2 linked regions of the Elephas maximus indicus genome follow. The protein of the gene in region 2 interacts with the protein of the main gene of each other region in a pairwise test. Links are inferred from orthologs where the notes say so. Each region holds a gene or a part of one and is shown on either strand. Other genes may lie near its edges.

Region 1 (7,696 bases), on a different chromosome or scaffold from region 2:
AGCGCCCCAGGCCTGGAGAAGGATGACCCGGACCAAATACGATACAGGAAAGAAAAAAAAAAAAAAAAGAAATATAGCGATTCAAGTACTGGCTTCTCTGAAAAAAGGAGAAAAAAAAAACACATTTGTGTGTGTCATTTATTTCAGTTGCGCTGGGGGAAGAGAATGTGGTTTCTCTCCCTGCCTCCTCCTCGCTGGGTAGAACTAACTCTAAAACACCAATTTCTCAATACTGAACCCTCCCAAATCGCAAGAGTTTTCCTTTTTTTTTTTTTTTAAGCTGATTAGCTTTTCTCTATCTTGCTCTTTCCTTTTCTTTTTCGTGCTCTCTCCCGCTTGGGTTGGGGTATTTTTTGGGGGGTTTTGTTTTTCCCTTGGCTGTGCCGAGGCAGCAGGCCCGGGCAGGGTTTAGGATTGCTCCTTGTCGGTTTTCTCCTTATTCATCTTTTTCATCTTCATCCTCCGGTTCTGAAACCAGATTTTGACCTGCCGCTCGGTGAGGTTGAGAACCCGGGCCACCTCGTACCGACGGTCCCTGGTTAAATACATATTGAAGAGAAACTCTTTCTCCAGTTCCAGCGTCTGGTACTTGGTGTAGGGGCAGCGCTTCTTCCTCGTGGAGCGGGCGTGGATCCAGTTGGCCACGGGGTTGCCTGGAGGGCCAAACACAGGCAGGGGTCAGTGGAGCCCCCGTGCAGCCCAGGATCCCTGTCACCCTTCCCCCAGGCTTAGCCAGGCTCCCCAAACCCAATAATTGAACCTGAATTTGGACACGTTTTGGTTTAGGAATTTTCTCCCTTCCTCCTTTTGCGTTCTGCCCCCTCCCTATCTCCCCCCCCCTTTTCAGTTTCCAGCACCTAAAACTGTAGGAAATCTGAAGCTATCAAAGCCCCTACGATCTGGTCCTCAGCTTCAAGAGTAGTAATTCGAGAATATCCTCATAAAAAGTCCAAATTCCCAACCGTTTCATAGGCCCATAAACGCTTCTCTCTCTTGTTTTTTATTTTTATAGCGAGGTCTCTCTCCTCCCCACCTCCCTCCTCCTCTGCCCCCTCCCATCTTCCCAGCCCACGACCAAGTCCTGAAATTTCAGCAGTTCTGTTTCCTGACCCTGAGAGTCCCCAAGCCCATCGTCACCCTCTGCAGTGCTTGTTTCTGCTCAGAGCTCTACCCTGCTGAGGCGAATTCTCAGGGTGACGCTGGGACAAGCAAAGCCTTGCTCCCCTCCCCAGAGAGCTGCTGGCTTTGGGGACAAGCTCCCCTATATCTTAGCTTCCCTGCGTGGCTTCCAGTGTCCCTCTTCTATCAGCCCCAGGACAGGCTCCTCAGGAGCCAAGCCTCCAATTTCAGGTTTATGGGAGTAGCTGAGGGCAGGGAGGGAAGCCTTCAGAGGGATATAATTAGGCCCTGGCCCCTTATGGGGCTGGAGGGAAGATTTCCTGCAGCCTCCTCCTGGGACACCCCCAGACACTTCCTCACACCCAGGGGGCTGCATCCCTCCCCTGTTCTTTCCCCTTCTTTCCGCTGTTCTAGCCCTGCAGCTCCCACATGCCCTCCACCTCCCCCAGCCCTTCTTTTGCAATATTCAGAAGGCCCCTGTCTCCCTGACTGGAGTGTGTGTGTGTGTGTGTGTGTGTGTGTGTGTGTGTGCGCAGAATTCTCTAATCTGGGGAGGTGCCTCCCTGCTCCTCATCCCTAACCCCTATTCTCAACCATCCCTTCTGCAGATCGTCAGAAGAGGTTCTCAAGTTTAAGGAGACTCGGGATCCCACTGCTCTCCCCCAACTCTGGAAGTCCTCATCTCTTCAAGTTCCCAGACTGCAAAATCCCCCAGACCCCTCACCCCAGTGCTCCTGGGGCAGGAAAAGTCCATGGACCTCCTGTTTTATGAGTCTCTAGTGGGGTGGTGAGGACCCCCAGGCTGGCTGGGAGGTTGGAGTGATTTTTCTCCCTAGGGTATATCCTCTCTGTCCCCAGTGTCCTCTCCACCTCTCCCCCCCGTCCCATCTCAAACTATAAAATGAACCTCGCCTCTGCCCTACTCCCTGGCCCTGTCTGCATTTCTTCGAAAGTGGTCACTGAGCCAAAAAGCTTGGGGTAGGGGTTGGGGGGCAGAGGTCTCTCATCAAAGTCAGTTCCTGGGAAAGGAGCCCCCCTCGGCCCTCTCCCAACCTGGCTCCCTGGGCCCCCTTCTCAGACCTTCCTGTCCCTGAAAGCTCCTCAAGGTAATTCTCTTTTATTGAGTCCTCTCGTCCCCTCGCCCTCGCCCCTCTCCCGCGCTCCCTGAGCGGCTCCGAGGGGCTGTAATCCAGCTCCCCCCGCCCGTCCTCCCCTCCCCTCCCGCGCCGGTTGTAAAGGAAAATTGCTCCCAACTTACTGGGGTCCAGGTCGGCCTTCTCCTCTTTGTGCTTGCTGCCGGCGAGGGCGTCCGCCTCGGGCGAGGGCAGTGTCTGCGGGGCGCGGTCGCGCAGCTCCCCGGGCGAGCCGTACATGTAGTCCGGGTAGCTGCGGCCATCGCCCGGGCCGCAGTCGGCGCGGCGTCCGGGGTAGGCGTCGGGCTTGAGGGCGTAGTGACGGCCCCCGGCCGGGAAGCTGGGGAAGGAGACGGCGCCGGACAGCGGCTCGAGCCAAGTCCGCATGTAGCGCGTGTCGGCGCCGAGGTGGGGCTGGGGGCCGTACGGGTGGTATACCACGGACGACTGCGAGGGCACGGGCGCCCACGACGTGCTGAACACTGCCGGCTTGGGCGCGAAGCTACAGGACGGAAAATCGCTACAGTCCGGCACCAAACCGCTGGGTCTGGCGGCAGCGGGGTGAGCCCCCGTGGCCGGAAACCTGGACGCTAGGAGGTCTTCATTGTCGTGAGAGATGAGCGAGTCCACGTAATAGTTACTGATGGGCCCCGTCGCCGACATCGTAACAGGGTTTTACATACATAAGATTATTGTATGAACTGTATATGTACTTTTTATCTGCTCACAGAACAATCAAGGCAGGTAATTATTTTTCCAGCCTTTTCCCCGCAGCTCATTGGCTCCCCGGCCCCCACGTGATCGTATTTACCCAAAAATACGGCGCGGATCAATGCGCAGGGGCTTTTTTTTTTCCTTGCTTTTTTTTTTTTTTCCTTCTCCCACCCCCTTCTCTCTGCTGATCCCCGCGACCTGCGTTTTCCTGGGGTCCGGAACTCTGGGCCCAAGGCGCCGGCCACCCCCTCGGGAAGGCTCCTATAGCATCAGAAAACCCCTTGCCCATGCCCACCCACAAGTAGATGGCCTCCCCGCCCCCCCATGAGGATTTTCTAATGGGGTGAAAATGCCAGTCCCCGAAGCCACGGTCCCCGGACCCCCAGGGCCGAGCAGACGCGGGAGCCCCACAGGGGCGGGGAGGCCGGCCGAGGTAGGTGGAGGAACTATTTCTTGACGTAATCTGTCTCTGTCGGGCCCGACGCTCCCGCAGTCTCTGCGCGAGCCCAGATCAGCGATTGTCAATTCCTAACGTGGCTTTTTTAAATGCGTTTTTAAATAGTGTGTATGTATGTATTTCTTCCAGGAGCAGCAGCAGCGAGGGAGGGAGGGAGTGTGGGAGGGGACTGGGGAAGCTGGGGTGGAGGGAGGGAAGGAGAGAAAGGGGAGCGTCCTTCTGCCACTGGCCAACTCAGCCCCCCAAATCTGGGGTAGGGGAAGCTTGGGGAAAGTGGTCCGCGGTAGGAGGGGTGGGGGTTTGGGACCCCAAACACCTTTATCATCAGCCTCAGAAGTCCTCTCTTCGCCTTGGCACAGATGTGCAAGAACCTTTATTTTAAATTTATTGTCTAATCTTTCTTTGCCAGCTTGAAGAAGTAGAGGAGAGACTTACACAACTTAAGTGGGGCATCGCCATCCAGTCTTCCTGCTTACCCTCTTTTGCCCCCAACTCCATCGCTGAGACACCCTCCCCTCCCCAAAAAAGAAGTCAGCTCCCAGGCTCTGTCTGCAGAGAGCCAGGGTGAGCGCGGGGAAGGCGAAAGGGAGACCTCGGTCGTGGGCAAGTAGCTTGTTTTTACGTCCTTCAATAAAAATTTTATGAGGATCATTTGATTGTTCATAAATGTGTCTTTCATTAAATAAAATTGTAGGCTGTTTTTGGAACGGAGAAAAAGGCAATGGAAGGCTGGTAGAAAGCAATTTCTTTGGGGTCGGATGCAGGAATTCCGGAGGGGGCAGTATGATTAAAAGGGGAAGAGCAAGCAACTTGGAGTCCTACCCCCAGTAAGTTGGTTGCTACCCTCCTCCTTGAATTGGGGTTCATTGCCTAGCCTCCTGCTTTTCATCAGGTTGTCCAGGGATGGCTGAGGAAAAGGAGGCTTTAGATATGCAGGAAACTCTCAGTGTGGAGCAGGAGAGGGGGCAGGGAGGTTGGCTGGAGGAGAGGGACAGGTGAGATGGAGAATTGATCCCCAGAGACACAGTGCACCCTAGGCAGAGCAGAGCAAGTTTGAAGGAGGGGTGCAATTTCAGGGTCAGAGGGGAGGAGACCCAGTCTGTGCTCAGGGAAATGGGCTGGAGCTGAGGCAGAGACACAGGCTCTGAGGCGGCAGGGAAGGAGGAGGCTTCCCAGACCCCAGGCGCCTGCCCTTCTTTTCCTCTCTTGTCCCCAGGAGGGGACCAAACACCAGGGGTGGGGGCGGGGGCTGGTAGTCTCCTGCTTCTCTGTCGACCTGTGTCTCCTGGGGTAGAGATAGGTGTCCCAGAGTACCTGTGTGTGTTGGGGGGGGGATTTGGGGGGGTTGGTAGAGCTGTAGCCTGCAGCATCAACCCCAGCCCACCAGGCCCCCACCCCACTCTCTGCTCCTCCCCCTCTTGGTTCTTTCCTTTTCGGTCTATCCGGGCTGGGATTTCCAGGCATGGGGAGGATGAGGGAAGCACCTGGCTGGGGAGAGGCAACCTGGGGCCTCAGCCTGGTAGTCCTCAGCTTGACTGTCTCCCCCCCCCCCCCCCCCCCCCCCGCACCAGGCTTGACAGGACTAGGAAATCCAAATTGCAGCAAGATACAGAGTATCTCTTTGGCCTTGATGGGGTAGGGTTAGCTGTCAATCAAAAAATAACCCTCACTAGTTCAAGGAAAAGACTGGAGGTTCCTGTCCCCCTGCCGAGGCTTTCTCCAAATCTCCAGGACCCACAGCACCTCCCCCAGCCCTCGGCAGCTGGGGACCCTGCCCGGCTCTTGGGCGGCTGCTGGAAGCAATGAGCAGGGACATTTAGTCTTTGGCGGGGCCCGGGGCCAGACTGCGACCAAGAGGACGTCAGGGGACAGAGGCTGGGAAAGACTGAGCCGGAGACAGACCAACTGAAACGCGGCGCCAGGCCCGCAGAGAGGAAGGGAGGAAGGAAACAAGGAAACGGAGGGGTTAGGAAAGAAAGAGAGACAGACGAATTAAGGGAAAGAAGAAAGGCAAGAGAAAAGAGCGAGCGGGGAAGGGAAGGCATGCAGAGAGAGAGGCTGGGGAAAGGCGGCGTTAGCAGGCAAGAGGCAGGCAGGACCGGGCAGGGCGCGAGCTGGCGGAGCAGCCATGGCATTGTGCAGTCCGCTTGCCGGGCCTTTGCCGCTGGACCGGCTCCGGGCGCGGCGGCCACTTCTGTCCGGACACAAAGGAGGAAGAGGCCTCCTCTCCTGCCCCTCCCGACGACCTGCTTGGGTGGGCACACTAGGCCTCCGGGATATAGAACCCCATTTCTGGGCAGGCAGTCGCTTAGGCGGCTGGGGGCTGAGCCGCATTCTAGTCAAGGAGCTGAAGAAGGTTTCACGTTCCGCTCCTCTTTAGCGTCTTCTCCAGGAGGCAGGGCCCCTCTGCCCCGAGCCTCAGCTTTCCTGGGGGGAAGACGCCCCTAGTCACCCTCTTCTATGGGGTTCGGCTATTTGGAGAAGCCCCTCAAATAGACATAGTCTTCCTAAACAGACGCCCTTTTCTCTCCTACCCCCTTTGGCCACCGCCTGCTTTTCAACTCTTAAGCTGCCTGCACACCCTGCCTGCCCACCCGGTGGAGGCGGCAGCAGTGAGGCAGCCTGATCCCCGGCCTGCGCTCCCTGCTGCCTTCAAATCCTCCGTGAAACCGAGGGGAGATTGTCGCCTTCCTTTCAGAGCCTGAACTCGGACCCTCCCCACTCAGGCGCAGGCACAGCTGTGGATCAGGAAGCAGGCCTCGCCCACACCCTCCTCCTGCCAATGCCCCATTCCGCCTATGCCTTGTCAAGAGAGGCAGCCTTGGGGAGGGGGGTGGAAGAGCCTGGGAGTCCCCTGCCCACCAGGCCTGAAGCTTCCACAATTGCATGTAGGTTGTAGTTCCCATTCTCCTCATTTGGAGGTGGGGGTGGCAGGTCAGAGATCTTAAACAGGCCTCCACGGTCCCCCCAAATCCAGGCTTGTGGGTGTGTAGGCACAAAGGATGTGGGGGGCACCCGGAAAGAGGGGCTCATCTTCCTGGATTCAGTTACTCCCTCTAAATTTCCTGCCAGATTCCACAGCTCCCTCTTACCACCACTACTCTCTTCAATTTCCTCAGCACCGCTGAGGCAAACCCGGAGGGACTGGAGGCCGCTGGGAGTCCCTGTTGGGGAGGGGGGAAACCCCAGCTTTAGCTTGGAGCTCTGCATTCACTCTGGTTTTAAGAGCTCCCTTCCCACCCCAAAAGATGTCTCACTGGGCACAAGAGAGTCCCCTAAGGGGGTGGGGCATCCTTACTCCATCACCTCAAGCCAGAGCCAGCATCGCGGGAAGGACAGACAGTAAGACAGGCTAGAGTCGTTCCTCCTCCTGCCCCTCGCCTCCCTTTTAGTGATTTAAATTCCCTCCGGTTCAATCCGCACTGTCAAGTTCGGATTAAATTTAAAACAGGCTTTTCCCGGGGCCCCCAGCGGGCCATCCCCAGCCGCCGCAGGCAGGGAGCCCTCTCTCCAGCTCGTCAGCACCCGCCCTGTGCGGAGGAGGCCGTGCTCCGTTTGCTTTCATTTTCCTTCTCCCCCTGAAATGGGCTCATTTCACCTCCTCTCCGCTGCCCTCTTCCCCTCCCCGCCCCCTCCCCGGTTCCCCTCTACTTTCCCCCCTTCTCTCTCCTGATCCCTCTTTGTTGGGAAAAAACACACCCACACACAACTCCTCCTAGCTCAGGCCTGCGCTGGAAGAAGAAACTGAGTTCTCCTGGCCTGCCGCGAGGAGACCCGCGTCCTGCCCCACCCCAGGTGGGTATCTGGGATCCCTTCACACCAGGAGTTAGGCTCTCGAGCCCAGCAGGAGTGAAACCCTCAGGGACTGTGAACGTGGCCCTCTCAACGCCACGGCCTGCAGGGCTTGCCTTCCCGCCCGCCGGCGCCCCCGCCCCGCTGCCCCGCAGCAAAAGGGGCTATTTCCGGCTCCCCCAACTGGTTCTAGTTTCCCAGCGCAGGGAGTGACTGGAGGGCGAGTAGCCCCAGTGCTAAGGGTGCTCTCTGCTCAGTGCCTCCATGGCCCTGAGCGGTTGTTACCTGATCTTTTGTGTAACGTGCGTGTCGCAAGGAAATTTGCAGTGACTTTGGAGCCTAGACAGAGAAAGCGGAGGTGGCGAAAGGAGAGACAATACTAGGCCGAAGTACAATCAAGGAGCCAGATCCGCTAGTCTCTCACCCGCCTGCCTGCCTGACCGGGAGCTGTCTGGACTCAAACCTCAGGGCGACCCGAGAA
Region 2 (7,163 bases):
ATAGGTTGACAAAGACGTGCAGTTGCCAGAGCGCGGAATAAGCCTACGGCGGCAGACAAGTGGGCCACTGGGGACAGGGAGGGGTGTATTCCACAAAGGATGATTTCAGAGAGTCGGGAAGTGTCCCCAAAAGGCAGAAGGCATGGGGGGCCGGAGGGGAGTGCTCGGAAGGGTAACTGGGAAAGCAGGGTGACATTAGGCGTGCGGAGCCGGCAGGGGGCAGAGCAGGCAGGATGTCACGTGGAGTGGACTCTACGGGAGCCGGGAGGGTTGCGTGCGGACAGGGGGGTCTTTCCCACCGCCTGAAACACTGCGTTACTCACAGGAGTCGCGGACTCTTCTTGCCCTGAGCTGGAGACGGGGGCTTCGCGGCCTGGGACTGCTGCCCTGGGGCGTCGGGAGGCCTGGCGCTGGGGCTGCTCCTCCGCCGGCGCGGATACTCGGCCTTCCTCCGGCGGGACACAGCAGCGGCGGCGGCGGCCGCAGCGGCCCGGCCCCGGTCGCGGCCTCCCCTCAGCACGCGGCTGCTAGTGGTCCCCGCAGGCGCCGCCGCCGCCGTCGTCTCAGGGGGCCGCTGCTGGGGCTCCTCCGGAGCCGCCTTAGCCACCGCCGCCTCTCCCCCTTCCTGGTCCTGCTGCTCCGGGGGTCTCGGCTCTTCCGTCTCCCCCGGCATCGGGGCTCGTCCGTCCCCACCCCCTCGTCCCAGGCGGCGGAGGCGGAGGCGGCTGCGGCGCTGCTCCCCCCGCCCCCTTCGCCTCCCGGAGCTTCGGGCTCACTCTCACCCTGCGTTCCTGTTCCCCCTCCCCTCCTCCCAGCTCCGAGGGAGCCCCCCCGCCCCCTGCCACTCACTGCCCGCAGCCGCTGGCGCCGCGCGCGCGCCCGACACGGACGCTCCACGGACCAATCGGAGAGGAGGAACGGCCTTGTGACCCCGCCCCTGTCGGCCTCTCACGCAGCGGCGTACCGGGTTTCCTCCCCCACCCCTTTCTTTGACCAATCAGGAAACGGCTTCAAGGGAGCGCGCGAGGTTTCCTTCCCCGCGCACCCACTCTCACCGTTAAACGGCTGCGTCTCGCGACAATCCGAAAGTGACCTTCCCCCCCCCCCCCCGCTCCGGAGATCAACGGGCGCTAGAGGTGGTGGGAGGGGCAGGTCTCGCGAGGGAGGCTAGTAGGAAGAAAACGCACCTCTTTCCCCGCCTGGCGCGCACCCTGGACTGGCTGCGCGCGCACCTGCCTTAGGAGCCGCTAATGCCACCAGGGCTCTTTCTAGCCTCAATTCGTGGAAACAGTCTGGTCGTTCTTCTGCCTCCACCCTGAGTCCCACTTTCCTGTCTTTGGCTTTTTTATCCCCAGCGTCGCCAGGTCTTGCACAGTGACGGGGGACTTTTTTCAGCTGTCGCTTCTCCTTTAAGAAAAAAAGTCCCGTCGGCTGCCGGATGAAAGTCTCAACAAAATGGCGGTGGTAGAACGGAGGCGGGGTCGTGGGGGTCAATGAGAGCCCGCCTCTTGGCGCATGCGTATGGTTAACTTTCCCAAAGGTACCCTGGGATATGAAGTCCTAGCTACTTTGGCCTGCGGCTAAAAAAAGAAACCGAGACGGAGAGGGTGCTGGTGCTGGTGACTGGTGCTCCATGGGAAAAGTAGTTTACTCTCCGCGGTCCGATTTTACTTTTCTAGGGACTCGACGGCACTGGGTTTTAGGTTGGCAGTGCCTCCGGGGTGGGGCGTGACGCCTGCGCAGTGCCAGCCCAAGTGGCGAGGGAGCTGTTGGTCAGCGAGGGTTGTTTTGGGCTTTTTCTTTAGCGTTGGCGTAATGCTTCTTCCCTTGGCATCTCCCCCGGGGCAGGCTAGGGTTCATGTCTACATTATTCGTGTTGCCATCCTGTTTCTGATCTACTAGCCTGTGGACCTCTGGAAAGCAGGAACTGAATCTGATTTGGCTAGGTCCTGAGGGGCCTAGCGCAATGCCTAGCATTCAGTCAGCTCTTAATAAAAGTTTGTGGAACGAATTATAGAATTGATTCTCTACCAGACGTTGTTAGGGCATCAAGAAGCTGGCGACTGCTGCATACCTTTTGGGTTGTGGTTCCTGAGATGGAGGGAAGGGCAAACGGTTGTTAGCGTGTCTCAGGTGACCTCCCCAGGGAAGCTGAAGGTCTACCTCATGCTTCCTGTCCCGAAGACACCTGCGGTTTATGAATGTTTCAACTGCACAGGAAACACAGAATTGCAGCTTTGTGAGAAGTTATTTGTCTGCCCAATACCGTGTGTAACTAAATTGTCCTGATGCGCCAAAAGGGAGTTTCCATTTGCTCATTTCTAAGTTGCAATCAGTGATGCAGTTGGCCTCTTGCATCTCGTTCTTTCGACCGTTATACTCAAGGAACGATTTGAAAGAACAGTCCTTTAACTCTGGAAAATAAAGCATCCGAGGTTAAAAGCCCCAGAAGGATGAGAATGGAAACAGGATCTGGGATCCTATTCTAGATTTCACGTTAAAAATTCAGTTAAACTGTAGATGCAGTGCAGTTACTTGCCAGCCAAGTGCTGAAGTGCGGTTTTCCTTCCAGTATTTTGGCTCAGTTACCACTTAAGGTTAGGCAAATGTTTTATATTCTCTACTGAGTGTTTTGCACTTTCATAGAACTAATGTCATTTTCAGTTGTAAAAACTGTTTGATAGAGTGTGGATGGAAATTTTTTCATACCCATGCTTGCAGTGAGCAGGCTCTTGGAACAGCACTGACATCCAGTGGTTACTGGGAGTAATGCAGAACGGGAATCTTTTAATTAAAAAAACAAAAAAGTCTTACAGACACAATGGAATGGAAAATGAATGATCTCTTTAGATTAACCTAAAAAGAGAACATTGTGTTGTAGAGAAAAGATGATGGACTTTGAAGTCAAACTGGATTATAGTACGTAGCTAACAAAGCTACCTACTAATTCTGTCAAGCAAGTTACTATCCTTGAACTTATTTCACCGCTGGTAAAAATGGTGATAATACTTATTTCACAGGACCCTAATTGTAGTTCTTTACATACTGCCTTCTCTGACTCATTTGGTAAATTTTTATTTCATTCAAGGTGAGTAAAATCTCAGTGGTAAAAAGGTGAAAGTTAACCTCAGTATCACTTTGCAAAGAAACTGCTCTAAGGCAATGCAGCTAGGCAGGAAGTTTGCTGAATCGAGATGTCACCAGTTTAGCACCTGTTGTCTTAAACCTTCCAGTTTCATTTTTCTTTTTTCATGCTGTTAGCGGCTGTTGAGTTGGCGCTATTCATGGTGACCTTATGTATAACAGAACAAAACAGTGCCTTATCCTGGACCATCCTCACAATCGTTCCTATGTTTGAGCCTATTGCTGTAGCCACCATGTTGATCCATCTCATGTTGGATTTCCCTTTTTACCATGGGGTCACATGAGTCAGTGTTGACTCAACAGCAGCCAACAAAAACAGTACCACTTTACCAAATATGATCTTTTCTGATGACGGGCCCTCTATAGATGTTTGACTTTTGAACCCCTGAAATAAGCCAGGCCCTGGCAATGCAAATGTGAATAAACATCAACCCTGCCTTTTAAGGATTTACAATTTATTCAGGAAAGGGATAAGTGTAATTTCTGAATAATGAAGTAAAAAAAAAAGACAACAAAATGAATTGGGTGCTGGTTAGCTCTGATGGAAATTTTATGATCACTGTGCCTCTATTGTCACCCACGTTCACAGAAGAAAGCAAGTTTCCTGATGTACAGTCACAGTGGGACCCACACTGAGAAAATACACAAGCACAAATCTGCCATTTCCATGACTTAAAGATGAGTTCTGGCATGTAGTAAGTAGTGAAATTTTGCTAAATTATTTTGACTCTTCCTTGCCAGTCCACCACAGGAATTCAAATCTTACAACCTGCCTATGTCCTATTTCATTTTAAAACTGTGACCTACCAAAAAAAAAAAAAAAAAATCACCAAATCAAAAGAGAGGAAGTGCTAAGCAAATACAGGAACCAGAAAGGGTTATAGAGGCTGCTTCATGCTGTCTCATTCAGTTCCTTTGTGGTCCTCTTCTTCAGCACATGCAAAAGCAGTTCCTTACAACCTGTGGGACCAGAGTATCTTGGGTGTGTGACAATGGAAGAGTTGGGTGAGTGGAGCTGCTTTGAGGAGAAACTGAGGGAATGAAGACTTGGCTGCCCTGTCTATGTATGGTGGGATGTACTTCTAGCCAGATTGACAGCAGTACTCGGAGATTTTATTTTCACTTCTCTGCTTTCTTCGGCCAACCAAGAGTGAGACATGAGGAACTATGATTGTTTGGGGGAAAGCCAGGTTCACTCTTTGTAGTAGCACAACAGAGAGCTTGGTGCTAACCACAGGGTAAACTTTACAGAAATACTTTTGGACTGAGTCGTGATTGAAACTGTCATTTTTAACATGGGCATTTTGCCCCTTGGGAGATACAGGAGATTATAGGGTAGTCACACAGCTACAGGGATGCGATTTGGGGGGAAGAAAGGAAGAAAGAAAATGGAGAAGGGGAAAGGGTGTTTTGAGGAAGAGAAATGGAGTCGAAGCACAAGAATGAGGGATCTGCAGAGGCTGGAGAAAAGCCAAGGTGGTTTCGTTTTTGTTTCTGGATTAGTGTTGAATCAGTGATTTTGGCACTAAGCTTTTTATTCAGAGGAATTCTGAAGGAACAGATTACTATGGCCTACAAACATGATACCTCCTCCCACCACAAGGCAATTAAAACCAGCAGTGGAACGATTAGCCACTTTAACTGGGGAGGTCCCGCTTTCAGACCTTTGGAGTAAAGCCTATCATTCTTGGGACTTATTTTTTTAGGCTTTGCCAATGTTTGTTCCAGCATCCTTGCTGACACCAAGTCACTCCCTAACCTTTACCCAATTTCCAAGCTGTATTAATTCTACAGTGTCCTGGGCTTTAGCGTGTTGCAAGTGTAAACAACAACAAAAAACACATATTGGACATTGTCCTTTTTTTTTTTTTTTTCCTAATTGTTTTGGGGGTGTGATTTGAGGGCTGGGCACATAGAGGATGCAAGAAAGTCAAATAACCAAAACCCACTGCTGTCGAGTTGATTCCAATTTATAAAGAGAAGACCGTTGAATGAAGAGGAGAAGGTGTTGTTTAACAAACATCGAACTATTGTTGATGTAAAGTCTATTTTGATCCTTGGGGATAGATGCATTTTGGACTTGGGGTAGAATCCAAATTCTTATCCTGTGTGTGAGGGTTGGGGATATCTACATTTCTGCCAAGTTCCAGTAGTCTCTCTGTCTCTCTCTCTCTACTTTTTTAAATTTTAGGCATACCTAATAGTTTTCATGTAGGTTATTCAAACAGGAACTAATGTTTATTCAGTGTCTCAGGCTAAAGTGAGGCATTTTTATATATGCGAATCATTCTAGGGTCTGCAGCAACCCTCTGTAGTAGGTAATGTTCACTTTTTTTCAGATGAGAAACCAGGAAAAAATGAAATCATTTCTTCAAGGTCACTCTCAGGAGCATCTGACGCCAAAGCCAATTAAGTTACAAGGCATTTCTCCTTTTTTGAAAAGTGCATTGGCTCAGGTGTTCCCCCCAATGGAACAACCCACATAATAAAAAACAAGTAGATTTGCACAGTTTTGCATTTCCTGAGCAAGACGAATGGTAGAGAAATCTGGTCTAGAAATACAGAAAGTACCAAGCAGCCTGGAAGCTAACGTTTGTGTAGATTATCCAGATGGCTACACCTCAGTAGCTGTTGATGTCGACACCTGAACAGCTTCTTCATATTGTCATCAGCCTAATAGCTACTTGTAAGTCTTCGGGTGGGTCCCTCTTCTCCTCTGCAGGCATATAGCACTGAAGGCAGATTAGCACAAAGGGGCAGATATTCCCTCTGTAGAACTTCCTAGGTTAGTAGCTTTTATCTACCCAGAAGATTTTACCTAAATTCTCAATACACAGGTGTGCTACATAAAGGGAACCAGTAGCAGACTGTGAAATTGCAGCTCATGGGGACTCCTGAGAGATCCCACTTTACTCCTTTCTTCTTAATGTTGATATTTCATTACTGGAGGGGGTTTGGAGCTATCGGTGAGATAAAGGGCTATAGAGTTTTCAGTCTTGTCCCAACCACTATCTTCCCGTCCCCTCTGCCACCACCACTGGTAGCCCTGTATTTGTCATAGTGAAATTAGTCATGTTCAAATTACAAAATCTGGCAAGATGACCTCAGTATGTTGGTGATATGTGGACTCACAGAAAACAGGAAGAGAAAGGCCTGTTAACTCACAGCCCAAAAGGGAGAGTTTTAATAATTCTGGCTAGCTCGTGCTTCTAAGCGTAACCCCTACTCTTAGTGGTATGGTTTACTTCTCTTATACAGGGTCTCCCCTTTCCCCCAGCCTTTATTGTAAATGACTTTTTATTTTGAATCCAGAAGGATCTTTGACTTCTGGTTGGAGCAAAGCTTAGAAAATACAAATGAGACAGAATAAAAATTTGGAATTCCTGAATTTTCTCAACCTGCCTACCAACATTCTAAGACAATAAGTCTCACTCTCTTTCTACTTTAGTTTTTTTCTTTCCTTTTTTTTTTTTTATTGTGCTTTAGATGAAAGTTTACAGAACAAACTGGTTTCTCATTTAACAGTATACGTGTTGTTTTATGACGTTGGTTAAGAACCCCATGACGTGTCAACACTCTCCCTTCTCAACTTTGGGTTCCCTATTACCAGCTTTCCTGTTCCCTCTTGTCTTCTATTCCTTGCCCCTGGGTTGGTGCACCCCTTTAGTCTGTTTTGTTGTATGGGCCTGTCCAATCTTTGGCTGAAGGATGAGCCACAGGAGTGACTTCATTACTTGGCTGACAAGGTGTTGGGGGCCATACACTCAGGGTTTCTCCAGTCTCTGTCAGGCCAGCAAGTCTGGTCTTTCTTTTTGAGTTAGAGTTTTGTTCTACATTTTTCTGCAGCTCTGTCCGGGACCTTCTGTTGTGATCCCTGTCAGAGCAGTCAGTGGTGGTAGCTGGGCACCATCTAGCTGTACTGGACTCAGTCTGGTGGAGGCCAAGGTAGGTGTGGTCCGTTAGTCCTTTAGATGAATCATTCCTTTGTATCTTTTAGTTTTCTTCATTTTTTCTTGCTC

What was found.
Region 1: the proteins of LPXN (region 2) and HOXC9 interact in binary tests that used the Homo sapiens proteins (3 or more experiments, as listed by UniProt). The two-hybrid records come from large-scale screens. The link is inferred for Elephas maximus indicus from reciprocal best matches to the Homo sapiens genes LPXN and HOXC9.

Annotation. Positions count from the first base shown.
Region 1 is NC_064822.1:109,519,522-109,527,217, reverse strand, and holds the start of HOXC9 (homeobox protein Hox-C9), read right to left. Parts: upstream 3,001-7,696; 5' UTR 2,916-3,000; coding exon 2,378-2,915; intron 654-2,377; coding exon 409-653; 3' UTR 1-408. UniProt on the Homo sapiens protein: Sequence-specific transcription factor which is part of a developmental regulatory system that provides cells with specific positional identities on the anterior-posterior axis.
Region 2 is NC_064825.1:120,442,025-120,449,187, reverse strand, and holds the start of LPXN (leupaxin), read left to right. Parts: upstream 1-4,158; 5' UTR 4,159-5,778; coding exon 5,779-5,830; intron 5,831-7,163. Other genes in the region: E3 ubiquitin-protein ligase ZFP91, read right to left, coding at 324-673. UniProt on the Homo sapiens protein: Transcriptional coactivator for androgen receptor (AR) and serum response factor (SRF). Contributes to the regulation of cell adhesion, spreading and cell migration and acts as a negative regulator in integrin-mediated cell adhesion events.